Macaca fascicularis: one gene and its partners. The main gene of each other region encodes a partner of the protein of the gene in region 6 in a complex. Links are inferred from orthologs where the notes say so. Each region holds a gene or a part of one and is shown on either strand. Other genes may lie near its edges.

What was found.
Region 1: RIPK1 (region 6) and AIM2 share a complex: the UniProt entries of both Homo sapiens proteins name them as parts of the AIM2 PANoptosome complex. The link is inferred for Macaca fascicularis from reciprocal best matches to the Homo sapiens genes RIPK1 and AIM2.
Region 2: RIPK1 (region 6) and ZBP1 share a complex: the UniProt entries of both Homo sapiens proteins name them as parts of the AIM2 PANoptosome complex. The link is inferred for Macaca fascicularis from reciprocal best matches to the Homo sapiens genes RIPK1 and ZBP1.
Region 3: RIPK1 (region 6) and RIPK3 share a complex: the UniProt entries of both Homo sapiens proteins name them as parts of the AIM2 PANoptosome complex. The link is inferred for Macaca fascicularis from reciprocal best matches to the Homo sapiens genes RIPK1 and RIPK3.
Region 4: RIPK1 (region 6) and CASP8 share a complex: the UniProt entries of both Homo sapiens proteins name them as parts of the AIM2 PANoptosome complex. The link is inferred for Macaca fascicularis from reciprocal best matches to the Homo sapiens genes RIPK1 and CASP8.
Region 5: RIPK1 (region 6) and MEFV share a complex: the UniProt entries of both Homo sapiens proteins name them as parts of the AIM2 PANoptosome complex. The link is inferred for Macaca fascicularis from reciprocal best matches to the Homo sapiens genes RIPK1 and MEFV.

The regions. Positions count from the first base shown.
Region 1 is NC_088375.1:102,018,919-102,023,273, reverse strand, and holds part of AIM2 (interferon-inducible protein AIM2), read right to left. Parts: coding exon 4,326-4,355; intron 3,484-4,325; coding exon of another isoform or gene 3,289-3,483; exon of another isoform or gene 2,978-3,288; intron 2,078-2,977; coding exon 1,658-2,077; intron 1,219-1,657; exon of another isoform or gene 909-1,218; intron 467-908; exon of another isoform or gene 310-466; intron 1-309. UniProt on the Homo sapiens protein: Sensor component of the AIM2 inflammasome, which mediates inflammasome activation in response to the presence of double-stranded DNA (dsDNA) in the cytosol, leading to subsequent pyroptosis.
Region 2 is NC_088384.1:113,682,876-113,687,710, forward strand, and holds the start of ZBP1 (Z-DNA-binding protein 1), read right to left. Parts: upstream 3,260-4,835; 5' UTR 3,108-3,259; coding exon 3,074-3,107; exon of another isoform or gene 3,031-3,073; intron 1,476-3,030; exon of another isoform or gene 1,325-1,475; intron 1,156-1,324; exon of another isoform or gene 987-1,155; intron 644-986; exon of another isoform or gene 508-643; intron 182-507; exon of another isoform or gene 1-181.
Region 3 is NC_088381.1:92,153,390-92,158,423, forward strand, and holds the start of RIPK3 (receptor-interacting serine/threonine-protein kinase 3), read right to left. Parts: upstream 3,104-5,034; 5' UTR 2,939-3,103; coding exon 2,919-2,938; intron 2,710-2,918; coding exon 2,569-2,709; intron 2,435-2,568; coding exon 2,125-2,434; intron 1,673-2,124; coding exon 1,527-1,672; intron 1,401-1,526; coding exon 1,354-1,400; exon of another isoform or gene 1,316-1,353; intron 1,147-1,315; coding exon 979-1,146; intron 869-978; coding exon 801-868; intron 586-800; coding exon 211-585; intron 71-210; coding exon 10-70; intron 1-9. UniProt on the Homo sapiens protein: Serine/threonine-protein kinase that activates necroptosis and apoptosis, two parallel forms of cell death. Necroptosis, a programmed cell death process in response to death-inducing TNF-alpha family members, is triggered by RIPK3 following activation by ZBP1.
Region 4 is NC_088386.1:97,036,546-97,041,337, forward strand, and holds the start of CASP8 (caspase-8), read left to right. Parts: upstream 1-1,637; 5' UTR 1,638-1,784; coding exon 1,785-1,809; intron 1,810-3,996; exon of another isoform or gene 3,997-4,055; intron 4,056-4,792. UniProt on the Homo sapiens protein: Thiol protease that plays a key role in programmed cell death by acting as a molecular switch for apoptosis, necroptosis and pyroptosis, and is required to prevent tissue damage during embryonic development and adulthood.
Region 5 is NC_088394.1:4,035,516-4,038,852, forward strand, and holds the end of MEFV (pyrin), read right to left. Parts: intron 3,109-3,337; coding exon 3,076-3,108; intron 2,910-3,075; coding exon 2,356-2,909; 3' UTR 975-2,355; downstream 1-974. UniProt on the Homo sapiens protein: Involved in the regulation of innate immunity and the inflammatory response in response to IFNG/IFN-gamma.
Region 6 is NC_088378.1:169,999,276-170,004,376, forward strand, and holds the start of RIPK1 (receptor-interacting serine/threonine-protein kinase 1), read right to left. Parts: upstream 3,456-5,101; 5' UTR 3,351-3,455; intron 3,048-3,350; exon of another isoform or gene 2,949-3,047; intron 2,529-2,948; 5' UTR 2,521-2,528; coding exon 2,304-2,520; intron 1-2,303. UniProt on the Homo sapiens protein: Serine-threonine kinase which is a key regulator of TNF-mediated apoptosis, necroptosis and inflammatory pathways.

The DNA of each region.
Region 1 (4,355 bases), on a different chromosome or scaffold from region 6:
AGGCCAGGGTGGCCCATAGAAGCAACAACTGCTGGATAGAGAGGATGGAGCTTCTCCAGGGCCAGTAGCCAGATTAGTCAGGGGAAAAAAGAAGACCCTGGGGTTGGAAGAGAGCTATTTTTTTTTTTTTTTTTTTTGAAACAGAGTTTCGCTCCTTCACCCAGGCTGGAGTGCGATGGTGCAATCTTGGCTCACTGCAACCTCCACCTCACTGGGTTCAAGCCATTCTCCTGCCTCAGCCTCCAGAGTAGCTGGGATTATATATAGGTCCCTACCAATACACCCGGCTAATTTTTGTATTTTTACTAGAGACAGGTTTTGCCACATTGGCCAGGATGATCTGGAACTCCTCAACTCTGGCGATCCACCTGCCTTGGCTTCCCAAAGTGCTAGGATTATAGGCATGAGCTGCCGTGCCCAGCCTGAAGACAGCTATTTAAAACAACAAGTCCAGGAGAGACATGAGGTAATGATGCAAGATCCAGCTGAGAGTCTAGTAAGTAATCAAAGACAAGAAATAATGCACAATCAAGTCTAGATCAAAAGGAAATAGGAGGTTGGTCAGTTATTTCGGAGATTGATTGTATTTTAGCTTTAATTTTGTGGACTAAATCAATATATGTTAGTGGCCAGATTAAAAGCTGAAAACTGGGACAAAGAACATGACCTTCCTATCCAAGGTCATTTTACACTTGAGTTTTCCAAGAGGACTGGAGAGTCTTCCTATCAATTCCTTCTAAAACTAACCCAAGGCAGCAGAGGTTATTCTGAGGCTCTGAATGCAGGGGCAGCAGGTTCCCTCTCTACGGTTCTTCAGGTCCTGCCCTAGACCAGAAAAAGTCATTCCACAAGGCTAGTTCCCTGAAGCTCAGAGTCATAATACTTTATTATTTCTCACTTCTAATAAGTCTCCTCGAGGAGTGCCTCTGCCCGGCCACCCCACCGTCTGAGAAGTGAAGAGGGCCTCTGCCCGGCCGCCCCACCGTCTGGGAAGTGAGGAGGGCCTCTGCCCGGCCGCCCCACCGTCTGGGAAGTGAGGAGGGCCTCTGCCCGGCCGCCCCACCGTCTGGAAAGAGAGGAGCGCCAGCCGCTGTGCAACCTTCCAAGTGTGAAGTGATAGCCTTGTATGTGATCTTTTCTGTCTTCCCCAAGTTTGCATTTTCGACATTAAAGTTTACTTTTAATTAAAAAGAAAGAAATAAATAAGTCTCCTCAAGCTAACTCTTTCTTCTGTTTTCTTCATTTAATCACAGTTCTTTAATCCTGACTTGCATATTGGTTTTTCAGGTCAATTAATTTGGTTGATTACTCAACTACACTTATTTTGCAATCACAACAATAGTCACTTAAAATAAAGATAATATGGACAAAGTACAAAAATAACGCAGAAATAAAAACTATGTGAACGAACTAATTCCTTTTTCAGAGGCTACTGGGATAAGAATAAGTTGAAACAGGATTGTGACATTTTTGACAATAAAAACAATTTTTGAGTTTTCGTATGAATTTTGGCATGTTAACTCTGCAGCTCTTTAGAACTTTGTATTTTTTTATTTTGTCTGTATAGACATTAACACCTTTTCTAAAGTCTCTTTAAGATCAGATGGAAAATACGTTATTCTTACTAATCAATATGAAATTAGCTATGAAAACTTACCTTCTGGACTACAAACAACCCATTCACAATTGTTCCAAGGGGCTGAGTTTGAAGCGTGTTGATCTTTGGGGTTTCACCAGCTTTTCTGATAATGTTCAGCGGGACATCAACCTTTTGGTCAGATTTAGCATCTAACACACATGAGGCGCTATTTACCTCTAAGAAACCACTGTGCTGATAATATCTTGATATTATAATCATTCTCTTTGGAATGAATTTATCTTTCAGCAGTGTATTAAAAACTTTTACAAAGAAGAATTCCTTCTCTGTAGCCACCGTAGCATGAAACATCTCTTGCTTGCCTTCTTGGGTCTCAAACGTGAAGGGCTTTGTTGCTTTCAGTACCATAACTGGCAAACAGTCTTTCCGAAACTCTTCTCTGATAGATTCCTGCTGGGCCACCCTCTGTTTCTGCTCAGGCTGAAGACAAGAGAAGAAAGATATCAGCTGTGAGTCAAAAAGGTACTATTGAGAGGACCTTCCTTCACCCACAGTGCTAAGCCTCAGGAAACCACAGAAGACAGGTGGAATCAAGGGAAGAGACACAGAGGGGATAAGAAGAGACTTGAGGCCTAGAATGATCTAGATGGAACAGAGAGTGCAGAAGGAAGATTTCAACTCCTGTATTCAGATAAGACGGTGTAACATGTTTTGGAGGAAGGATCCCTAAAACCAAATCCTTGCTTTGCCATGTGCTGTATAAAAAGACTTCATCAGATTTCTGAAATATTGCTAAGCCTCGGGGTAAATCTGATAAATCTGATTCCATCTTCTGTGGATTCCATTCGGGCATAATATATCCTTGTTTCTCTATCCAACACTGTCCTAAACATTCATTTTACTCTGGTATAAAAGTGAGAGAGCTCAGTGACCTGCACAGGGTTCCCCAAATTCCTAGGGAGGTATTGTACGTAACAAAATGTAGACTATGTTTAATGTGAGTTAAGGGGGAGACCTAGGTCAGAGATCTTACAAGTGAGTTAAAGGAGAAATTTAAAAGGAGAATTGATACTACATTTGTGGATTTACCCTTAAATAATGAATTATGCACTAAGGTTTACATTTTAAAAATATATCTTATTATTTGAAATTATAAAAAAAGAAATAATTTAAATACATAAAAAATAGAATTTGGTTAAACAAAATATGGTATAGTCACAAATAGATTACTATACAAATATTAAAAATGCTTTAGAGAAATAATGTGATAAACTGTTATAACTGACTCAATAAAGGGAAAGGTCCTAAACAGATAAAAAATCTCTTTCTTTTTGGATAAATAAGCAGTTAAAGCACATACACAAACACACTACAGAGATATTTACCAACATCAATATTTTTTTCCTAGATGATACAATTATAGGTAATTTTATTCGCTTCTCTGTGTTTTTTATTTTTCTGAATTAACAGAGATAAGATACCTTTTTTGGTTTGTTTTGGGAGAAAATACTACTTTTTAAAAGCAACTTGCCATCTAGAACCAAATGGAAATACAGGGAAAAACAAACAGAGGCATAAAAAGTCAAGTGTAGGAGTCTCGAAGGCTGTCTCCGATGTGACCTGAAGCTTGGGCCAGTGGAGCTGGGGCCAGTAAGGGGCCCTGACGGGCAGTATAACTGACTGCATTTGGATCAATGCAGGTAAAGGTCAGTTCCACTGAGTTCCACTACAAAAGTCCTCTTTGGTCCATGTATCTTTAGTTGAGTCTTCCAGACTGAATGATGCACATTTTCATTACTGGTGATGGAATCACACCATGTATACTTGAACCTTGTTTTCTGAAAAATCCAGAAGTTTCTGGGCCAAACCCAGAGGAAATGGCTCCTCTAGACAAAGAGAATGAAGTATGTGTAATCAGTTTCTAGAGCTCACACAGCTATAAAATGGTGTAACACCTGCTTCACAGGAAATGAAATTGCATGTGTGGTGGATTCTGTGTTGGGCCTTTCCGATATTGCCTGCCGCTCCCTCAGGACTAAAGTAATCATTCTCATCAATGAGACTCTTCAGGCACTACTCTCTCAGCTAAACAGGGCCACCTCACCTTGTCCATGCAGGTGTATAAAGGGCTTTTTTACATTACTTTTAAAAAGCAATTTGCTGTCAAGAACTAAGGGAAAATACAGGGGAAAACAAACAGAGGCATGCCAGGCCGAGTGTAAGAGTCTCTGCAATAGATCTCTGATGTGACCCAGAGCCTGGGTCTGTGCAAACCACAGACTCCCCCACCAGTCTTGGGAGCCCTGAAGGGCATTCTCAGCTCCCGAGCTCCCTGTGGGGTAGGCCAAGGCCTCTATTGCAACTATATTGGACTTGACATTCTTCCTCTTCTACTCCTTTCACTTCCTCACAGATACTAATTCTGAAAGTGCTCTAAAATAGACTTCCTGTAAACAACTGTCTATCTCAGAGTTTTCGTCTTATAGAATCCAAACCATAACAGAGTGTTAATGTGTCCAGGCCCTGACAGAGATTAGAAGCTCAACAGGTGTTTAATCTGATTAATCAGAGGTAGTTCCTGTTTTTGTGACTCAGAGTGCTTTTCACACTGTGGCCTTAATTCCCTTATTTGCATGCTCTGAGATAAAGAACAGAGAACAATGTGGGAAATGACAGTGACAGTGATGCTCTTACAAGGACAAAGACCACTCCACTCTCCTCATCCTACCTTAACATGAGGAGAGACTTTTGGTGCAGC
Region 2 (4,835 bases), on a different chromosome or scaffold from region 6:
CTGCTCCCAACTTCCCTCCAAGTGCTGGCCTGTTTGTGCTCCCTTTAGCCCCACTCACCCCAGCCCCTTTGCACACACTGTTCCGGCTGCCAGGAACACCCTTCCCCCACATCCCAACCTGTATGATGTCTACTCAACCTCCAGCCTCCTCACATGCCACTTCCTTGGGGAAGCCTGTCCCTGTGTTCCAGAGTGGCTGGGATCTGCTTGTGTGTGGGTCCCCTCGTGTCCCCTGCTGTACTTGCGTGGCTCACTGTTGTACCGTCAGCATGTAGCACAGTGCTGGGCACACAGGACGTGCTCAGGAAATGGCAGTTGAATGTATGAGTGACTGAGTGAATGAATGAATGAATGAATGGGACCAGGAGTGGTGGCTCACACTTGTAATCCTAGCATGTCAGGAGGCTGAGATTGGAGGACCCCTAGAGGCCAAGAGTTCTAGACCAGCCTGGGCAACATAGTGAGACCCCCATCTCTACAAAAACAGAAAAAAAATCAGGTAGGTATGATGGCACGTGCCTGTAGTTCCAGATGCTCAAGAGGCTGAAATGGGAGGATCGCTTGAGTCTAGGAGGTTGCAGCTGCAGTGAGCTATGAATGCACCGCTGTACTCCAGCCTGGGCAACAGAGCAAGACCCCATCTCTGGAAAAAAAAAAAAGGACTGAGTAAGTGAGTGTCTGTCTCTAGGGACAGACATTTACTCAGTAGACCCAGGCAGCTCCTCCTTGGCCAGTTGGCAGGTGCTGCTGTTTCCTGGCCTGAGTTTAATGAGCCCTAAGCAGGACCCCAAGAGATTCAAGGAGGAATTCTCCAAATGGCCCCTGCTCCTCCTGAGGCAGCTCTTAAAAATCAAAACCATTAGCTCAAACAATGATTAAAAAATCAAAGCCAGCCACTGCCCAGAGATGAGGCTGGGGCAGACACAGGGTACAGGCAGCACCTGCAGCCAGCAGCCTGGGAGAGCCACGGTGGGGGGGGGGCCCACCTGTCACCAGAAGGTTCTGCTTCAAGGAACCCGAGGGCAGTGCGTGGGAGAGCTCTTCTGGGAAAGACCCGAGTTCCCCTTCCAGGACAGTGACTCAGTCCTTGTCATCTGGGCTTTCTTCCTGTTCAGAGGATTCTCTAGGGTTGCCCAGGGATCTTCGGTCGCAGCACTTGTAGGGGAGGGAAAAATCAGTTTGTGCCTCGCCCTGATGGCTACAATGCTGACAGGCTACCGTGTGCAGGTGAAGAGAAATGAGAAGACCTGGGAATTCCCACTCCTGCGCCTACCAAACTCCCCCACCGGCAGCCAGCAGCATCCCCGTGCACCTGACTTCACACCTGGCTTCGCCTTGTCTCTCGGAGTTTTTTGTTGTTGAGACAGAGATTCACTCTTGTTGCCCAGTCTGCAGCTGCAGTGGCGCGATCTCGGCTCACCACAACCTCCACCTCCTGGGTTCAAGCAGTTCTCCTGCCTCAGCCTCTTAAGTAGCTGGGATTACAGACACGCACCGGGTTCAAGCAATTCTCCTGCCTCAGCCTCTCAAGTAGCTGGGATGACAGGCACGCACCACTACACCCGGCTAATTTTTGTATTTTTAGTAGAGACAGGGTTTCCCTTTGTTGGCCAGGCTGGTGTCGAACTCCTGACCTTAGGTGATCCCCCCAACTTGGCCCCCCAAAATGCTGGGATTACAGGCGTGAGCCACTGTGCCCGGCTGCAGAGTTTTGATTCTGGAAGGCTGACCCTAGGGAGCCACCACCTCTGCTCCACAGATCCAAGAGGAGATGGGGGTCAGAGGTGTGGATGCAGGACAAGCCCGGGTGCTGGGCTAGACTCGACCGCTAAGTCCCAGGCTCCTATGTCTGAAAATGGAAAATTGTAAAATGGAGCAGGTGTAGGCAGCAATTTGGTCACAAAAGGAAAATCAACTGGGGAGGAAGACAAGGAAAGCCAGCGAGGGCTGAGTCCGGAACCTCTGTCAGCACCTGTGAGTCCCCGAAGAGGAAGCACCACAGGAACTCGGTGGCCAGCGCGGCTCCTGGCCACACCCTGACATTAGCCCACCAGGGGCACAGTCTGGGTTGGTTTTTTAAAATTTTGATGGCTGATTTCCTGGGTTTGAGCTCCTAGCCCTGACAACTACTAGCTATGTGACCTCCCCCCGGCTTCAGGTTCCCCTTCTGTGAAATGGAGACAATAATAACTACTTCAAAGATTGCGGTGAGGATTAAAAACAAAACAAACCCATCCCCCAAACTGCAAAACCACACTTCACCTACAGTCCACAGCGCTTCGTGGAGACCCTAGAGAACAGCAATTGCTTGATACACTATTGGCTTTCATTGCAGCTCTTCCAGGAATAAAATGAATGAAATGTTAGTTGAGGAAAGAATGCAACAACAAGGAACAAGGGCATACATGTACCTCATCAAAGCAAACTGCTTTGTTCTCGATATGACTGTGACATGGGTGTTCAAACGCTAGCACCAGTGCTCACCAGCTGTGCTACCCCGAGAGTGTCATTTCACCTCTCAGGGCCTCAGTTATCTATAAAATGGGAATGACATGGCACTTGTCCCTGCAGGCCATTGAGAAATGCTTGCGAAGCTTGTTTTGAGGTGCCCAGGGCATAGTCAGCTGTCGAACGACAGCTTTCTACTTTTCTTTTTTTTTTTCTTGAGACGAAGTCTTACTCTTATCACCCAGGCTGGAGTGCAATGGCGCCATCTCAGCTCACTACAACCTCCACCTCCCGGGTTCAAGCGATTCTCCAGTCTCAGCCTTCTGAGTAGCTGGAATCACAGGCATGCACCACCATGCCTGGTTCATTTTTGTATTTTTAGTAGAGACGGGGTTTCACCACGTTGGCCAGGCTAGTCTCAAACTCCTGAGCTTAACCAGTCCACCTACCTTGCCTCTCAAAGTGCTGGGATTACTGGCGTGGGCCACCATGCCCAGTTGGTCTACTATTCTTTAGGATACCGGTATTGTCATCATGATCTGGGCCAAGCACAACAGGAAGAAAGAGAAGTGGAAATCTCACCCCGGGAGCCACCGCTGGTCCTTGGAAGGAAGGAGTACTGTACCTTCTCTGCCCGGGTCAGCAGGAGCCTGGGCCATGCTCACAGCAGCTGCAAGGAGCCGGGGAGACTTGGCAGGTGGTGCAGGCTTCTGCACTGTGGCCTTGAGAGGGTGGGCTAGATCAAGGCTGGGGCTTAAGTGGCCAAGCCTGGTGCTTCTTGCAGCTCTGAACCCGCAAGGGAAGGGACGCCAACTTCCACCGGGCGGGTGTCAGCTGCTTACAGTCCGGAAATAGATGCCTAGCCAGCCCGGCCAGATTAGGTTTCAGGAGAAAAAGAAAATGAAACTTCACTGTGTGTCTTTTGAAAGAAAGACAATTGGAAGCTGGGTGGATGAGCAAGACAGAGTTGGGGCCCTGACTTGATGTTGACAGGGAGGAGCTGTAAACTTGGCAAGACCAGAGCATCCTCTGAAGAGGCCTTTGAGACAGAGGACTTCCCTCACCTTCCCAGTTCCAGACACAGCCCACCTGGACCTCCACATTTTTATTTTCTGAATCAGCATCAGAGAATTAAAAAAAAAAAAAAAAAAAAAGAGCATGCACCATCTGGAGGGGGGATGTCAGGGCGTGGCATCACTCTGATGATGTCAGGAGCTGGGGCTGGTTTCCCGGTTTCTGTGTTTTTGTTTGTTTTTGAGGCAGGGTTTCTGTCATCCAGGCTGGAGTGCAGTGGCGTGACCATGGCTCACGGCGGCCTCGACCTCCCGGACTCCAGCGATCCGCCCACCTCTCAGCCTCCTTAGTAGCTGGGACCACAGGCCTAAACCACCCTTCCCGGCAAATTTTTGTATTTTCTGTAGAGATGGGGTTTCATCATGTTGCAGGCTGGTCTCAAACTCCTGGGCTCAAGCGATCTGCCTGCCTTGGCCTCCCACAGTGCTGGGATTCCAGGCGTGAGCCCCCACACCCGGCCCCCCTGGTTCCTGTGGTGCTTCCTCCCCGGGGACTCACAGGTGCTACAGAGGCACCATCCCCAGCTCTCAGTGGCTTTTCTTGTCTTCTACCCAGTTTATTTCCCTTGCTCACACTAGGGGCAGAACATTTAGGTGGGTGAGTGCCCTGAGATTGTTCTTGTATGTATCCATGTGAGTGTCTTTAATGAACACCTACTATGTGCTTTCCAATCGCAAGTGCTCCTCCAACCCATCTACAGGGTAGGGGCCAGTTCTGACTTCTTCTCAGGGGGGAAACTGAGGCTAGAAAGGCAAGATCACTTGTCCAAGTCCACACAGAGTCCATGGCAGAGCTTGTCCTGTCCATTCCCCAGTTGTGTTTCCTGATCTGTAACACCTAGAAGTCATTGGTGAATCACCCTTAGTGCACAGATGGCATGGAGTTCCCAGCCTCATCATAAAACTGGCTTATTAATTCCAGAGTCAGATGCCTGGGGTCAGCATCTGAGAACCGGCAGCTGAGTGGTTCGGAATGCAAGCCTGCGATCAGCATGTTTGGGTCCAAACCTGGCTCTGCCATTTACCAGCTGCGTGACCTTGGACAAATTATTTAACCCCTCTGTGCCTCAGTTTCCCCATGTGTAAAAGGACTTAAAGGACCTAGCTCGTGGGGTCGAGGTGAGGACTTAAGGGGCTAATCCAGTTCAGCTCTCGGGCTAGAGCCCCAGAGCCATCCGTAGTCATGGGCACCGTGGTCACCCTCACAGGAATGCTTCTGGGAGAGGACCCATTGCTCACACAACATTCTCAAAAGGTCCAGTGACCCCAGAAAAACTCAGAGCCACTGTTCTCTTCCAGACCACAGAAGGGGGA
Region 3 (5,034 bases), on a different chromosome or scaffold from region 6:
AGTGGGTACCTGTTACTGGATTTGGCTCCGGGGTCCTGGAGGACCAGTTCATGCCATGTCTCTCAGCGCCCTGCAAACATCACAGAGCATCCAGTTCTGTCCTGGAGCCTGGACCGCCCAGTGCACTCCTCTCAGCCCCAAGTTTTGCCTGGCAAGGGGACAGCATTTATAGGACTCTTAGTGCATCCCCTAATCCTGCCAATGTCTCACCTGATTCCCCTGGGGTCCAGGACTTGGTGTTCCAGTTGATGTGGGGCTGGGCATCTGGTTTCTGAAAGTTGAGGTCTCTGGAGTCTGGGGAGGTTGGGCCACTGAATCTGAAGATGTCCCTGCTGTCCTGGCTTGCAGAACCTGCTCCTCTTGTGCCCTGCTCCTCTTGGTAAGGCTCGGGTATTTTTCAGGAACAGAGCTGGGAGACCCCTCTAGATTCAGTTTGTTTAGCAGCTCAGAAACCATGACATCATTACGAGAGTGTTGGTTTCCTGTGGTTCTCCTAAAGCCATCCATTTCTGTCCCTCCTTGGCCTGACTCGGGGGTAGAAAATCTCGGATTGCTGCTCCTGAGCTCAGATAGGAAATTCTTTACCTGCAGGGATGGGAGGAGTTTGCTGGGTATGACTTGGATGAGCCAGAGTAAACCCAAGGGAGTAGTCTCTTGGAACTCAGGGGTGGGCTGGGGAGGGTGAGGACAAAGGTCAAGGCATAAAAAAGCTGTGGTTAATGGTGAGTCATTGGATGGCCAGGTAGCCATGTTGTGCCATCCCTGACCAGCTCCTGGAGAGGGGTGATGTTGGCGCTCACTGTGGAGACAGCAGCATTTATATTGTTCTCCACCATCTGGAAGGCTTCATCAGTTTTTGGTAGGCATTCTAGAGGGACAGCAGAGTGGGTTGCAGGTGAGCAAATCTTCTTTTCCTGAGGAAAGCCCCATGCTGACAGACCCAAGCTTACCCCAGATCCAGCTAATTGGCCAGCTCACCCTGGAAGGAGGGTCTGTCCTTGGGCTCACTGCTCCAGCAGAGCTGCATTAGCTCCTTCAGTCCTTCTAAGCCGGGAGTCTCAGGCCCAGCTTGGGGCAGCTCAGTCAATGAGGGCCGGGTCTGCCTCCTGCACACTGCTCCACACACCAGTGATGCTTCTGTTGGCACTGGAGTAGGGGAGGAGGGTGAGAAGAGAAGGCATTCAGGGTAAAAGGGAATATCTGCTCCATCATGGAAAGAGGCAGGGAGTGTAATGTGGGAGCACAAGGATGGAGGAGGGCAGTCTTAGTAGGTGAGCAGGAAGGGGAAGCTTTGGGGCTTTCAAGAGAAGGGCACCTGGGGTTAAGGATCCCAGAATCCGCCTAGAGTCTTACACTCAGCTTCTCTTCCAGCAAGCACTGCCCACATTAGGATCCCGAAGCTGCAGGAGACACAAAGCTGAGGACCAGTCCAATCACTGGCAAGACTCCTTTCCTATACATCACCCCCTGGGAGGGCCCAGAGAAGTGTAGGAATCCCGGCTGTGTGTTTGGGCTGGGATCCTTACCTGTAGACATCACTGGCTGTGGAGGCCTTCCGGTTTACATTAACAAACAGTTCTGGGGCCAAGTAGCCCAGGGTGCCCCCTGGCTCCCTGGATGCTGTCCCTGACTGTGAGCCTCCCTGAAATGTGGACAGGCCAAAATCTGCCAGCTGCAAAGGAAGGAAAGAAGTGGGAGGTAGGGAAGACAAGGGGGCCAGGCAGCCTCCAGAAACCCCCTTGCCCCCAGAAGGTTCAGGTTCAGCTTTGTAAAGGGAGTGTGGAGGTCAAGGGAAGAGGCTCCCTTGGATAGTAGATCTAGGTGCCTGTGGTAGGGCTGGGTCAAGGTGTGAGTCTCCAGGGCTGGGTCAGCCATGACTCTTTGGAGGGGTTGGTGGGGCAGCTGGTGGAAAGGACTCGTGTGGGTCGGGGCCTCTATCACCTGGTATGGCAGGAGCTAAAACTCCTGGCTGGGCTTTGTGCCCTGGCAGCCCTGTGTCCAGAGGGAGAGGCTACGCCTATTCAATAGACAGGGCTCTGGAGGTCTGGTGTCCAGTGGGCCTGGCTGGAGCTGCTCTGGGGTGGGACCTTGTCCTGAGGCTGAGAGGGGTGTAGAGCAGCTGACCTTGACGTGCAGCTCTGGGTCCAGCAGGACATTGGATGGCTTGAGGTCCCGGTGCAGGAGCACCGGGTTCTGGTTGTGCAGGTAAAACATCCCAAGCACCACTTCTTTCAGCAGGCGGCAAAGCAGCGGCCAGGGCCTAGGGCACTCGGGCTGCAGCAGCCGGGACAGGGAGCCGTTCTCCATGAATTTAGTCACCAGAGCCGGCTTGGGCACGTGGTCCCAGTTCACCTTCTCGATGACCCCTTCTAGGCGCAGCACGAATTCGTTATCCAGACTTGCCATGGCCTTGACCTCCCTGGATATCGCCTTCCTACACTCCAGGAGAGAGCTGGAGTCACCCGGGGTCGTGGGAAAAATCCCTCCATTCCCCATTCAGGCCCCAGAGCACAGTGGCTCCACCTTTTTGGCCAGATTGCGGCCGGGGGGGCAACAGGGGTCACTCACGAGTTTACAATCTTGACCGCCACGTCGTAGCCCCACTTCCTATATCGCGCCCGGAACACTGTGCCGAACCCGCCTCTGCCGACGAACTCCTGGTTTTCCAGTTCCTCGATGGACACCAAGGAGGCGGAGGCACCACTGGGCCTGAGACAGGGGTGTCGCCCACTAGCCGGCAGTGCCCTACGCCAGCGCTGCTCCCCGCGCCCCTGTGACTCGGCGCTCTTACTGCAATCCCCGGCCTCTCTCGCCGGCCCCCACCGTCTCCAGACTCAAAGGCGTTCTCTGAGCGAGTCCGTGGGGCGCTCTGGGTGTGAATGTCGGAGGCTGCGATCGACATGCCTCTCCCTACTCACCATAACTTGACGCACGACATCAGGCTGGAAGGTGCGAGGGGGCCTCTGGAAATTGCGAGCAGTAGGAGATGGAATGACTTCTGGGGCTGCGGTCTTTGGCAGAGAGGGGAAGGGATCTGTCTCTGCAGGGATCAGTCTCTAGACCAGGACGGTGACTCCACTTTCCGGGTTGCTACCCGTATTCTGAGTTGACTGAACAACTTCCCTTACAGGCGCCTCTACAGTCCCGCCCCTGGGGTGGGGCAGGGGGCAAAGCGAAAGCTAGTGTCTTTCTCCCTGACTAGCGTTTCCTGAGTGCCTGCCGCATGCAGCGGCCAGGTTAGGTGTGGCTGGGCATTGAGGATGTTAGGGAATGGGTCCTCACCTTCCAGGAACCCACAATCAACCCACTCCTACAGTCAAAGCCTTCTCTTTTCCCACAGGATTTCCTGCTCCACCACCTGCCAGGCCATGAGTGGAGATGGTGCTTAGGCAGGTTTTATGGTTTTAGGGCTCAGCTCTCTCATAGCTGCCCTAAGATCATAGCCAATGCATATATAAAACTTATCATGCACCAGGTACATAGATTAGCTTATTTAATTCTCACACGAACCCTAAGGGGATAGGTACTGCTTTTATTACCTTTCTATAGATGAGGAAACTGAGACACTGAGAGTTTAAGTACCTTGCCTAAGCCCATATGGAAATAATGGCTCTGAACCATCAAGTTATCCTGTTTTCACATCATAGGTTTCAGGGCTGTTTTCACATAGGTTTCACCTGTTTTCACATAGGTTGCAGGACCACTCAGCTGGTCCTGCAGGAGGCTGGGAAAGTTGTGAAGCATCCAACGATGTAGTGAAGGATCCCTATTTGTATTCCTTGGGACTTATATGTTCATAGGGACTTATATGCCCTATGAACAGGAGCTCCTTGAGCTGGCAGACCCCAAACCCACTCCAAGGGCATTGTGGTAAGGCTAGATATACCAGCCCATCCAGCGAGTTGGTGACATTGTGGTGTACACTGCAGTGGAAACAATTCAGAGCTTTCCTGCCCTCTCTCTTGCATGACAATTCTTGCATGCAAATACCCTAATTAATGTTCCTGACAAGCACATGCTCTGGACACAGGCTTTTGATAACCCAGAAGCATGGAGAGTCTTAAAGATTTAGGGCAGAAAAAAGGTGTCCATATTTTACCTTTTGGAGGTCTGACCATGACTGGAGGTTGTGGGAACCCGATAGGGCCAGCCCTAGGCACTCAGTCCTTCACAGGGATACTCAACCCTGTGGGTTGTGTGTTGGCTTTCACTAAAAGGGGCTCACCTTGGTACTTGCTTTCCATTTTGTTCAGCGGTCCATGGGCTCTTCTGGTTGAGGCAGAAGTGATCAGCAGTTTTTTCTAGAACAACTCCTGGAGAGCTACACCATGGCTTCTGGTAGGGTCAGCTCATGCTATTTTGGAGCTATTTAGGGAATTGTTCAACTGTAGTCTCTTTAAAAGCCAATACATGGCAGATACCCAATAAATATTTGTTGAATTGAATGAATAAATGAACAACCAAAAATATTAAGCCTCTTTTAAGGCACTGATCATCCTAGATGGAGCTCCATACTCAGTAGGAGGAAAGAGGAGATCGGGTTCCTATAGGGACTGAGGGCTCTCACCTGCACAGTTCATGAAATCCGTCTGAAGTAGGCTTTAGTATAGAGATATGGTGGTATCACACAGAATCCAAGAAGGCAAGAAGTGTAGCAGGTCCTCAGAAAAGCCTAGAGTCAGAAGCTGAGAACCATCAAAAGGGGTAGCCACTCCCTTTGTGATTCTTTTTGGAGAGAATAACCCAGGCTCAGTATCTCCACTTGAAGGAAGCAGGCAAAAAGGAGTTGGAAAGGTGTTATAACCGGGTTTCTTCAGATTGGTATGAGACCCTGAGAATCAGGGATAAACTACTGTGAAGCACAAAGTTGGGTGTGGTATCAGGGCCTATACAACTTTTTGACTCAAAATAAACAGCCCCTTTAAAAGAAGGAAGAGCAGGGAGAAGAACCTTAGAGTAAGTGCCTAACAGGACCCTCAGCTTCCAGCAAGGGGGTGTGGGGGTGGACCTAGGCACAGGTTGATTCTTGGAATT
Region 4 (4,792 bases), on a different chromosome or scaffold from region 6:
AAGGGAGTTAGTGTGTCATAGAAAAATCTCTGTTTTGGCCCAGCAGGACTGAGTTTGACTCCATGGAACTGTTTGAGCCTTAGTTTCTTCATCCATAACATGGGAGAACAATACCCTGAATTGCTGCAAGAATTAGAGATAGTTCATGTCAAGGTGTAACATACAGGTAATATGTTACTTCTGGTGTTCTGGTTATAAAATGTACAAGATGTGCAAGCAAAAGGGCAGAAAACCCTTTTTAAAAATTCATGGCTGGGTGTAGTGGCTCACACCTGTAATCCCAGAACTTTGGGAGGCCGAGGTGGGTGGATCACCTGAGGTTATGAGTTTGAGACCAGCCTGACCAACATGGAGAAACCCTGTCTCTACTAAAAATCCAAAATTAGCCACGCATGGTGGTGCATGCCTGTAATCCCAGCTACCCAGGAGGCTGAGGCAGGAGAATCACTTGAACCCGGGAGGCGGAGGTTGCTGTGAGCCGAGATGGCGCCATTGCACTCCAGCCTGGGTAACAAGAGCGAAAATCCATCCCAAAAAAAAGAAAAAAAAATTCACATGGGAAACAGAGGCGGATGGCAGAGAACAGGGGAGTGGCTGGGCACAGTGGCTCATGCCTCTAATCCTAGCACTTTGGGAGGCCAAGGTGGGTGAATTCCTTGAGGTCAGGAGTTCGAGACCAGTCTGACCAACATGGTGAAAACCCGTCTCTACTGAAAATACAAAAATTAGCCAGGCGTGGTGGTGGGTGCCTGTAGTCCCAGCTACTTGGGAGGCTGAGAGGCAGGAGAATCACTTCAACCCAGGAGGTGGAGGTTGCAGTGAGCCAAGACCGCACCACTGTACTGTTACATGGACAACAGACTGAGACTCCATCTCAAAAAAAAAAAAAAAAAAAAAAAAAAAGAGAACAAGGGAGGGTCTGGGGTTCAGAGCTTTGGGGAACAGACCTCAGTAGCACCAACACTCCAGGATCAATGCTACAAAGACACGGGTTACAACTAAACTGGAGAACATGGCCAAAGAAGGGAACTGAAGTGTCCTGGCTCAGCCCTATTTAGGGCTGTTTAGCTCTGTTTAGGGCTGAGCCAAGTAGGGCTGAGTCAGAACACTTCCTCCTTTTTTTGTGAACAGTCTACCTACATTTCAGCTACAGGGGTGGCTTCACCCAGTCCGTAGGGAGGGAGGAGAGGGCTGGTCTATGACTTCAGTGCTGAGGTTTGGATCAAGGCAGAGGGAAACTTCCTCTTCCCAGACCCTTTGCAAGGAAGAATGGCATATTACTTGTCACCGACAGGGGTTATGATTACTAAATGGAGTCAGTATAAATGCTTTCCAATAAAGCACGTCCAGCGCTCGGGGTTTTAGTTTTGCATGTCCATGAAATGTCTGCCACCTCCCTCTTCTGAATGGTTGGAAACTGGGCATCTGTTCCTTTAAATAGGAAACATTTCTTGTTCGGGTGAGTCATCTCCGTTCTGCTTTAGGAGTAAAATTTACCCTGCAGTTCATTCTGCTGTGAAGTTTTCTCTTTCTCTCGGAGACCAGGTTCTGCCCTTCTGCTGGAGGGAAGTGTTTTCACAGGTTCTCCTCCTTTTATCTCTTGTGTTTTTTTTTCAAGCCTCCTGAATTTGCTAGTCAACTCAACAGGAAGTGAGGCGGTGGAGGGAGGCAGAAGAGCCAGGGTGGTTACTGAAAGTAAAAGAAACTTCTTCCTGGGAGCCTGTCCCACCCCCTTCCCCACTGAGCACGTGGAGTTAGGCAGGTTAGGGGGCTCAGAGACTGCGATGGTGCCAGGAAAGGGTGGAGCGGGTGAGTGCCTGTTGCCGAGGTGGCCTCTTCAACAGGAAACCACATATTTTTGTTTCTTGACTTGCTCTAGAAACAGGGCTGTGGGGGCGGGGAAGAAGCTTGGATCTGCCCGGCTGAGGACACCTCTGGGTGCTGCCTGGCCAGGTCTCCTGTGGGGTTTCTCTCTGAGCTGTTGCCTCTGATCTTGCTACTTTTTCACTCTGAGCAGTCTCCATTTCCTCTGCTGCCTTTTTGTCCTCCCAGCTTCCCTACTGCCTGGAATACAGATACACAGTCTCCCTCCTGTGAACCCGTTTGGAGAGTCCAGAAAACTTTATCAATCCACTTTTTTTTCTTTTTCATTTGGCTCTGGGGCCGAGGGTTAAGTTCTTTATTCTGTCGAATCACAGTGCCCTGAGGTGCACAGACCGCTTACCCCTCTTCCGTGTCTTAAGGGTTTCCTTTTATGTCTCCACCCCCACCCCTGCCCTCCTGCCCTCTCTCTTGCTCCCCAAAGATAATTCTCTAATGTTTTGATGTGGATTCGTGAATTTATCTGTATCTTTGCAAAATGTATTTTTCTTTTGTATATGTACACTGTTTTTTAACTATGCCATCTCAGGCAAGTAAGTAATTCCTCTGTACCTCTGTTATCTCATTGTTAAATGGGATTAATAATGCCTTGAGAGGTGACTGTGAGGCTTGAAGGAGATAATACGCACACATCACTTACTACATGAGTTAGCAATTATTATTGCATATTAATACTATTGGCATTTTATTTTACTCATTCTGTTTCTATTTCTTTTTTATTTATTTATTTTTTGAGACAAGATCTTGCTTTGTCACCCAAGGCTGGAGTGCAGTGGTGCAATCATGGCTCACTGCAGCCTCGACATCTTGGGATCAAGCAATGTTCCCATCTCAGCCTTCAGATTAACTGGGACCACAGTCGTGTGCTACCACACCTGGCTAATTCAAAAATTTTTCTTCATAGAGATGGTGTCTCACTATGTTGCCCAGGCTGGTCTCAAACTCCTACGCTCAAGGGATCCTCCCGCCTTGGCCTCCCAAAGTGCTAGGATTACAGGCATGAGCCACTGTGGCCATCCAGGCATTGATGTTATCAGGCCACCTTGACCTAGCCCTCTCTGGTGAAGAGTCCTTTTCAGATACTTCATTCAGTCTTCTCAGCTATGAGTCCCTGCCCTCTGAAAGCTTATATTCTATTTGGGGAAAGACAAAAGGCAGTTTCAAAGAAGAGAGGTGCTTGATTTTCTTTTCCTACTTTTAACATCAGAAAACATTTCGTCTAACTCTCAGTATGAAGGCAATCTTTTGTTTACTGATCTGTCCCTAGAGCCCAACATGGTGAGGGCCCCAGGATTTGCCTCTTTGATAAGATGGTAAACCCATCTTGTGGCTGACTTCGTGGTGTCCCCAGCTACACTCATATACAAGGATCACCTTTGGTAAGATAGGGTTACCATCTTACCAAAGAGTTTTTGCATTTTAGAGGTTTTTCTTTTTAGATTTTTTTCATTTTAGAATTTTTTTATTTCAGAGTTTTTTTCTTTTTAGAGGTTTTTCATTTTAGAGTTTTTTCTCTTTTAGAGTTTTTTTTTTTTTTTTTTTTTTTTTTTTTTTTTTTTTTTTTAGAGTTTTTTAGGCGGCTGAGAGTGGAATCTGGTGACTTGGGGCCACAGAGATGCTCCTTGGCTAAACCAGGGGCTTTAGCTCTGAACGTTCACAGTCACCCTGAGAACAAAGATGAGGGCTCTACGATGTCCAATCTCAAGACTTCTCCGAGGTGCTCCATCAAGATTCATTGAATGAAAAAATTAAAGTCTTAATGATGAACCCAGAAAAATCTTTAAATCCTAAATACGAAATGAAAGTGTTCTTAGTTACAATCCAGTTCAACGTCCTCATTTTGGAATGTGGAAATGAGGCCCCAAAGGTAAAATGGCCCATCATAGCCAGGGGCCAGTGCTCAGGTGGCCAGATGCCCCGCCCCACCCTGCAGGCAGTCTCTTGGACCATCAGGCCTTTTTCCTCCAGCTTTAGAAGCTTTAGAAGGTGCTCTGTTCACTCAGGGGCAAGTGGTAAGCGTTCCCTCCCCTCTAGTGTTTGTGACTTAGGAGTTTCGAAACAGGAAGTACAGCTGGCTGTGCCCTTCATCCTTCATTAGACGTTTGCTCTTGTCTTAGATGCTCAGATGGCAGTGGAGAGGCCTGTAACAAAGGTGTTACCATCGTGAGAGTAAGGTAAGGATTTGCCCCTTTGTTAAGGTCAGAGGGGCCTTTTGGGAGAAGGCCTTTGATTCTGGAGTTTTTTAGGCTGCTGAGAGTGAGGTTGGGTGGCCCTGGGGCTATGGAGGTGATCCTCGTATGTGAGTGTGGATGGGAAACCATGAAGTTAGTGGAAGAGGTAGCAGTCCCTCTGAGAGCCTTGCCGAGGGCCGTGCAGTTTCCAGATCTTGAGGCCAGTCTGGCTTAGACTGATTAAGTGCTAGGAGTTTCTGAAATGCTGCCATTTACCTACTTGTATAAAGGCTTCATCCTGATCCCAGCTAAATTTGTGAAACAAAGAGTAGAAGCCAAAATTTAAATCTCAACTAACTTTGCTGCTACAGCTATCCTCCCACCAACACACATACCCACCAACATACACATTTGCCAACATAAACACACACACACACACACATACACACACCCATGTGGTCCTACTAATTCAATTATTTATGTTTTAAAGAAATTTAAAAAGGCTGGGCGCAGTGGCTCACACCTGTAATCCCAGCACTTTGGGAGGCCGAGGCGGGTGAATCACCTGAGGTCAGGAGTTTGAGACTAGCCTGACCAACATGGAGAAACCCTGTCTCTACTAAAAATACAAAATTAGCCGGATATGGTGGCGCAGGCCTGTAATCCCAGCTACTCGGGAGGCTGAGGCAGGAGAATTGCTTGAACCTGGGAGACAGAAGTTGTGGTGAGCCGAGATTGTG
Region 5 (3,337 bases), on a different chromosome or scaffold from region 6:
TACCCAGCTGTGAAAAAGAATGGATTGGAACTATAGGTACACCTGGAGGGATGGCCATAAAATATTACATGAAAAAGTTTCAGAGCTACATATATCATGCATAATTATATTTTTGGAACAAACAAAACTCCTATGTATGTGTTGAGGGATACACATTTGACTATTAAAATGGTTACTCATGGGATGGCCAGGCGCAGTGGCTCATGCCTGTAATCCCAGCACTTTGGGAGGCCAGAGGTGGGCTGATCACTGGAGGTTAGGCGTTCGAGACCAGCCTGGTCAACATGGGGAAACCCCATCTGTACTAAAAATACAAAAATTAGCCGGGCATGGTGGCGGGCACCTATAATCTCATCTACTTGGGAGGAGGCTGAGACACAAGAACTGCTTGAACCCAGGAGGTGGAGGTAGAGGTTACAGTGAGCCAAGATTGCACCACTGCATTCCAGCCTGAGTGACAGGCGCACCAGCCTGGGCGACAGAGTAGTAAGACTCTGTCTCAAATTAATAAATAAAATAAAAATAAAATAGTTACTCATAGGGAGGCAGTGGAAATGGAGAAAAGGGGGAGATTACACTTTTTTTTTAATTGTGTCACTTCATTTAATGAGCACATGTCAATTTGGTAACTAAAAATAATAAAACCTTAAAAAAAAATAGAACAATACGCTGGGCGTGGTGGCTCATCCCAGCACTTTTGGAGGCCGAGGTGGGCAGATCATCTGAGGTCAGGAGTTCCAGACCAGCCTAACATAGTGAAACTCCATCTCTACTAAAAAATACAAAATTAGCCGGGCGTGGTGGTGCATGCCTATAATCCCAGCTACTCAGGAGGCTGAGACAGGAGAATCGTTTGAACCTGGGAGGCGGAGGTTGCAGTGAGCTGAGATCGTGCCCACTGCACTCCAGCCTGGGTGACAGACAGAGCGAGACTCCATCTCGGGAGGCAGGAGGAGGAGGGGACGAAAAAAGAACGATAAAGATTTTTTTTTTAATTTGATGGAAAAAAAGAGCGATAAAGATTTTTTAAAACAATTGGATGGAATCCTGTTTTTAGAATCTAATCCGTAAAATAAATGACATAAATGGATTTGAAATGATACCATAAATTAAGGGTGTAAACACAATATATATCTCTATAAATGCCTTTTAACATGAAAAGATGGCTACAGTCACATGCAATTAAAGAAATGAAATTTAAAAGAATAATTACAAAAATAATATTCAGAATTCTGAAAGCAAATTAATACAATTATTTAAGAGGGCAATATGGCACTTCCTATTTTAAGAAGTAAACTTTGGCCAGGCGCAGTGGCTCAAGCCTGTAATCTCAGCACTTTGGGAGGCTGAGACGGGCGGATCACGAGGTCAGGAGATCGAGACCATCCTGGCTAACACGGTGAAACCCCGTCTCTACTAAAAAATACAAAAAATTAGCCGGGTGTGGTGGCGGGCGCCTGTAGTCCCAGCTACTTGGGAGGCTGAGGCAGGAGAATCTCTTGAACCCAGGAGACGGAGGTTTCAGTGAGCCAAGATTGTACTACTGCACTCCAGCCTGGGCAACAAGAGTAGTCTCGAAGAAAAAAAAAAAAAAAAAAAAAAGAATCATAGGCCGGGCGGGGTGGCTCATGCCTGTAATCCCAGCACTTTGAGAGGCCAAGGTGGGTGGATCACCTGAGGTCAGGAGTTCAAGACCAGCCTGGCTAACGTGGTGAAACCCCCATCTCTACTAAAAATACAAGAAAATTAGCCTGGTGTGGTGGCATGCGCCTGTAATCCCAGCTACTCAGGAGGCTGAGGCAGGAGGATCACTTGAACCTGGGAAGTGGAGGTTGCGGTGAGCTGAGATAGTACCACTGCACTCCAGCCTGGGTAACAAAGCAAGATCCCGTCTAAAAAAAAAAGTCATAGTTCATTAATCCAGGTACACAAATACTTCTATCCCAATCCAGTCTGCTTGTGTTTCTCTAGACTTCCCATGTCCTCAAGACAAAAGCAGAGAGAACCAGGGGACATGTCCTTGCCGTGGGGTTCTGAGGGAAAATGAGGGCCAAATCTTCTGTTCAGGAGCACCTGAGAGTACCATTCACCAGGGATGGATTATGCAACGACCCTGTACTTCCTCCTCTGAAATCCATGGTGTGTCATCAGTACACTTCTTTAGCGGATTTACTAATACGTTCGTTCCTAACTTAGCTCTGCTACAATCGGGGAGGCTCCATGGGCACAGTAACTATTTTGTTATTCGTTGCATTTCCTGTAGCAGCTGGCACCCAGGCGGCATTCCGTGACTGTTGAGTATGTGAATGCAAGATACAAGGCCAGAAGCTGGAAGAGAGATGCAGTGTTGGGCATTCAGTCAGGCCCCTGACCACCCACTGGACAGATAGTCAGAGGAGCTGTGTTCTTCCCTCCATCATGTGTCCCAGGGCTGAAGATAGGTTGAAGGGGCTCAGAGAAACAGCAGCTGGTGAATGTATAGATGCAGGATCTGGCTGTCACGTTGTAAAAGGAAATGCTTCCAACTCTGTAGTCCACAAAGATGCCCACACGCTTGGGAGGCACCTTTATTAGCAGGCGGGTTGGGGGAACACTGGATGCCTGGTACTCATTTTCCTTCATCATTATCACCACCCAGTAGCCATTCTCTGGTGACAGAGTCATGTTCCCTTTCCTGCTTATGGATGCCTTGCAGGCTCCTAGGATCCACGCTGTCTTGTCTCCGACCTCCACCTCCCAGTAATGATGGCCGGAGAGGAAGCTCGGAGAGCCCAGAACAACGATGCAGCTGTCAAATCTTTGCGGGCCATCAGGCAGCCTCTCCCGCTTGTTTCCAAGTCTAACACTCTTCAGATCATCAGAGACGATGAGGTTGGGGTAAGCGGTTTCTGCATCCAGAATCACATTAACTGCAAAGAAAATTTGAATACCTAGCTAGGGGTCCGTGGGCAACATCCCTACAGGGTTATCCCCACCTGCAGGAAAACAGGGACAGGGCAGTTATTCTCGAACGTGGTGGGGGAGAGCACAGGGATCCAGCAGGTCAGGGCCACTTGCCTTGATCTGGGCACTTACCGGCATGTGCCTGAGCGCCAATCAGCTCTGGAACTACAGAGAAAAATGAGATAGGGAAAAAAGTCCTGAGCATTTGTATTCAGAGGGGCTAAATTACAATGTCCCGACAACAAGGAGACGCAAGGAACCCCCTGCTTAGGGCCCTGCATGCTATGTTGGGTATAATCCCGTTCCTCCCAGGAACCCAGGTCATGTTGGGAACTGTGGTCTAATGAGTCAACTCAGCCAGTGAGTCATGCAGTCATGCACAGAGCCTGGGGGG
Region 6 (5,101 bases):
TGCCTCAGCCTCCCAAAGTGGTGGGATTACAGGCGTGAGCCACTGCGCCCGGCCCATTTTGGCAATTTCTTAACCAAGCTCTTCTTACCATAATATGAAGCAACTCCACACCTTGATATCTACCCAAACGAGTTGAAAGCTTACGCCCAAACACCTGTACAAGAATGTCTATAGCAGCTTTATTCATAATTGCCAAAACTTCAGGGCATCTAAGATGTCATTTAATAGGTGGACAGATAAGCTGTGGCACATCTATACAATGGAATATTAAGGCTCAAATGAGCTCTGAAGCCACAAAAAAAAAAAATTCTGGAGCAATCTTAAATGTATAAATCTAAGTGAAAGAAGCCAATCTGAGAAGACTACATAATGTATGATTCCAACTATGTGACATTCTGGAAAAGGAAAAACTATGGAGATAGTAAAAAAGATTAGTGGTTGCCAGGGATTTGCAGGGAAGGAGGGATAGGTAGGTGGAGTACAAGGGATTTTTAGGGCAGTGGAATCTGATATTACAGTGTTGGGTACATCTCATTATACATTTGTCAAATGTATCTTGAATATACACAAAGAGCAAAACCTAACAAGCTCTGGACTTTGACTGATAATGTATATGTTTTATCCATATTGGTTCATTTTTATAACCATGTATCTATGTTGGTTCATCAGGTGTAACAAATACCCCACACTAATGCAGGATGTTGATGGTAGGGGAGGCTATACAGTCCAGGATGTTTGTGGGAGGGGATATTTTCTTTCTGCTTTGTTTTGCTGTAAACTAAAACAGCTCTAAAAGTCTATTCATTATTTTTTAAAAGATGTATACATACCAAAAAAGACAAAAGGCAGAGCTATTCACTCAACAAAGCTTTCTACTGTATGCCAAATAGGTACTAGATACAAGAGTATCTGGTGATAGATACAAGAGATACAAAAAGGAATTCATTCCTTTAATAAATATTTACTGAGCATCTGTTCTAGGCAGTGAAGCCTCGGTTGTGAATTAAACATAAAAAATCTCTGTTCTGGCTGTGTGGAGTGGCTCCCACCTGTAATCCTAGCACTTCGGGAGGCTCCGTCGGGTGGATTGCCTGAGCTCAGGGGTTACGGACCAGCCTGGCAAACATGATGAAGCTAAAAATACAAAAATTAGCTGGGCGTGGTGGCGCACATCTGTAGACCCACCTACTCAGGAGGCTGAGGTGGGAGAATTGCTTGAACCCAGAAGGCGGAGGTTGCTGTCAGCCAAGATTGCACCACTGCACTCCAGCCTGGGTGACAGAGCAAGACTCCGTCTCAAATAAAAAAAGATAAATAAATAAAAATCTCCGTGTTCCATTTGTGGAACTTGCATTCTAATGGGGAAGACAAAAAGTCATTGCCCATCACTGTCCTCTGGACATCATGTGATCTTGGAAGATTGGAAATGCATTGTTTTTGCTTCATTTTGTTTTCAGTGCTCTAACTCAGAAACATCTATTTGGGAGCTTTACTCATTACTCCCAGCAAAAGCCATGAGTGTAGATGGTGCATGAGACGAAGGAACTGGTCCTTGCAGAACGCCAGAATGGAAAAGGCAAGAAACAGCCCAAGGTGAGGAAGGAAAACCAGCGAGAACAAAGAGCTAGTACTACCTCTGAAGCTAGTGGAAGCCAAAGTGTGAATGTGAGGGGGTGGGTCTCTTCGCCACAGGTCTGAAACCAAATGAACCCCCACCCCCAGGCTGCAGTTCCCAGTGCCCTTGGAAATGAGACCCTCACTCCTCCAGGTGAGCCTGGGAGACCTCCCTGACCCCTTTCCATCCCCCTCGTCCCCCACACCCATCCCCAAGGCCTGCCCTCTACGCCCACATTTCGCCCACATTTCTTTCCACTTCGGATCCTGTGCCTGGCCTAATGCGCAGGCCCCCTCCCGAGCCTCTGCTCACCTTAGAGCCACTCCTCACTGTCGGGACACCTCATGTGTGCTCCCCGAAACGCCACGCAAAGCACTGGAGAGCCTTGGACAATGAACACAACCCGCTTCCCCCAGCCACCACCGGGCCACAGCCACACAGGATCCTCAGAAAGCCGTGTCTTAATCCTCTTGTCCTTCCTCCTAAATCTCCCAGAACCCTTAGGATCCGCTCAAAGCCACCTTGTTAAAACGGTTTCTTCTCCACCTGCCCCCTCCCTTGATCCAGCCTCGCTCAGGTCACAGCCTCCACCTCTGGCCATCCTGAACCCCTCCCAAAGTCACCTCTTCACAAACTCCTGGTCCCCCTTACAAGGCCCCATGTCCATCACGGGATTAATTCTACTCACCCTCAAACACCGCGGCCTGGAGGCTTGATTCCCACCCTAAAGGAGGTTCCCTTGACCCCGCCGGCGCAACCCTCCCCAGCACGACCGTTCGTCCCGAAGGTGACTCCTCATCTTGCTGGCGGTCCCCACAGACCGCAGGCCCTGCAGGCGACGGCTGAGCCTGGCTCCGCGGATTCACAGTCCCTGGAGGAATGCTCCGGGGAAGGACGGGCCCCATCCGTTTCGCTGAATTATTGAAAGAATTAGGATGGGTAAGAGTGCTCGGATTTGGAACTGGAGACTGGTGACTTTGAAAGAGAAGTGCCGTCATCCTGCGGATCCCAGAGCAGAGAGGAGCAGTGAGAAAACAGGGCTGGCAGGTGGGGAGGGGCTGCAGGGGAGAGCTTCGGCCGGAGAAGGGCAGCGAGGAGGCGTGGGGGAGGGCGGCGTCCGCGCTGGCGGGGAGCTGCGGAGGCGGAAACCGGCTGCGCGCTGCAGGGGACCCCCCAGAGACCGTTCCTGACCCGCCGAGACACCACCGCTTCCCCGGGGCTCTTGGATGAGCGACCTCTCCTGTCCTCAGGTCTCATCTTTCGGTGGCAGCCGGGGGACCTGAAGCTCGCCATTCCCGTTCCCGACCCCGGCCCAGCGCGGGGATGCCCTCACCTGCCACCTCGTCTCCGTGCCGCGCTCCGAGCCTGGACGCCGATCCCCAGGGCCCAAGACGTGACTCTGCTGCTGCTGCTGCTGTCGCCGCGGACTCCCGCTCGGGCCTTGGCGGGCACCGCCTTTTAAACTGTCTGGGAGACGGGGGTTTTTAGGCTCCTTCCATACTTGACAAGCCGCCTGACTGGGGCTGCGCCTGCCGGGACTATCCTGGGAGGCGCGCGCGTTCGCGCGGTGGCGGAGGGCAGGGCTAGGAACATGGGAAGGTCAGGGTCCCCCCAGTTCGCCCCGCCCAGGGCGAAGTCCGCGAATGTTCCCGCCGGTCTGAGGTCAGCCAGGTTCCCAAGGCGCGCACCCGGCCTCGCCACCCGCAGCGCCCTGCGCGGGGACGCCCGCACCTACCACCTGGTCCAGCGCCGCCGCCGTTTCCGTGCCGCGCTCCGAGCCTGGACGCCGATCCCGGAGGCGCAGGACCCGGCCCTGCTGCTGCGCTCGCCGCGGACTCCCACTAGGGCCTCTGCGGGCACCGCTTTTATACCGCAGGGTCGGGCGCCTGCCACGCTTCCGCCTAGCGGGAATAGCTGGGCCGGCGCGCGTGGTGGCCGAGGCGCCCCACCCCGCCGCCCCGCCCCGCTTTCTGCCTTCAGGCGGAGCCTGGCGGGACCAGCGGGGGCGGCGCGCGTGGTGGCCGAGGTCAGGGCTAGGGGAAGGGGCAGGCCAGGGTCCCCCAGTCCTCCCGGCCCAGGGCGAGGTCCGCGAATGCTCCCGCCAGCCTGAGGCCCGCCAGGTCCCCAAGGCGCGCGCCCGGCCTCGGCCACCGGCAGCGCCACGGCCGCTTCGGGATCGGGTTCTGAACCCAGAGAAGTTCTGAGCCCAGAGAAGTGGGTGGGAGCCTGCGGGGCCCAGGGCCTCCGCGCCAAGAAACAAGGGGTCTGCGGGAAAGGAGACAGAGCCTGGAACCCTGGGCTTTTCTACCTCAGGAAGCGAAGGTCGGGTGACAGCCAAGCTCCATGTTCCAGTGGGAAGGCCCCATGGGTCTGTGTTCCACGCCTCATGTCATGAATATGAGGGATTCACTTAGAACCAAAGCGTTTGTTCCAGGTCCCACCACTAACTAGTACCATTTGTTCCAGGTCCCACCACTAACTAGTACCGGTCCCGGGCCCAGAACCAGGCTCCTCACTCCTGGCGCCCGAGCCCCTCTCCAGCCACAGGTGCTTGGGCTGCGGTGCGGTGTAAGCAGCCCCATTTTCCCGCGAAGTGATGGGAAGAGACACTGAGTCACATGGGCTCCGGACACTCCTTGTGTCCTCTCTCGGGGGTCCAGAGGCAGGGACTCGGGGGAGTTGATGCAGCAGTTCGTAATGTCACCAGATATCCTCCCCACCCCGCTCCATCCTAGGCTGGACGCAATTGGAAGCATTTCATGTCGGCACGGTGACGTCCAGAGGAAGAGAACGGACCAAATGCCTCTCTCTGGAGCACCGAGTGTCTCCCAGAAGCCGTGTCCTCCTGTTGCGAACTGACCAGAATTAGGGCTTTCTCCTGAGGGCCTGAATTAGGGAGAGCCAGGTGCCTAAGGCACAACATTTCAGGAGGGCCACACTCATAGGTGCCAGCCCTGCATTTGCGTGGCCCTGAGAATCAGAGCCTCCTTCAATTTTATACCCTAGGTGCCTAGCTTGTTTTTTTAATTAACACCCTTATTAAGGTTGGGTAGGTGGTTCACGCCTGTAATCCCAGCATTTTGGGAGGCCAAGGTGGGCAGATCACGATGTCAGGAGTTCTAGACCAGCCTGGCCAACGTGGTGAATCCTCGTCTCTACTAAAAATACAAAAATTAGCCGGGCATGGTGGCGCATGCCTGTAGACCCAGCTACTCAGGAGGCTGAGGCAGGAGAATCGCTTGAACCCAGAGGCAGAAGTTGTAGTGAGCCGAGATTGCACCACTGTACTCCATCCTGGGCGAGACAGGGCAAGACTCCGTCTCAAAAAAAATAAAAATAAATAAAAAAATTTTAAAAAACACCCAAAAAATAAATAAATATATAAATATATAAAAGAACACCTTTATTAAAATACAGTGCACATACCATAATATTCATCCTTTTAAAGCATACAGTGGTTCTTAGTATATTGATGAAGCTATCCAA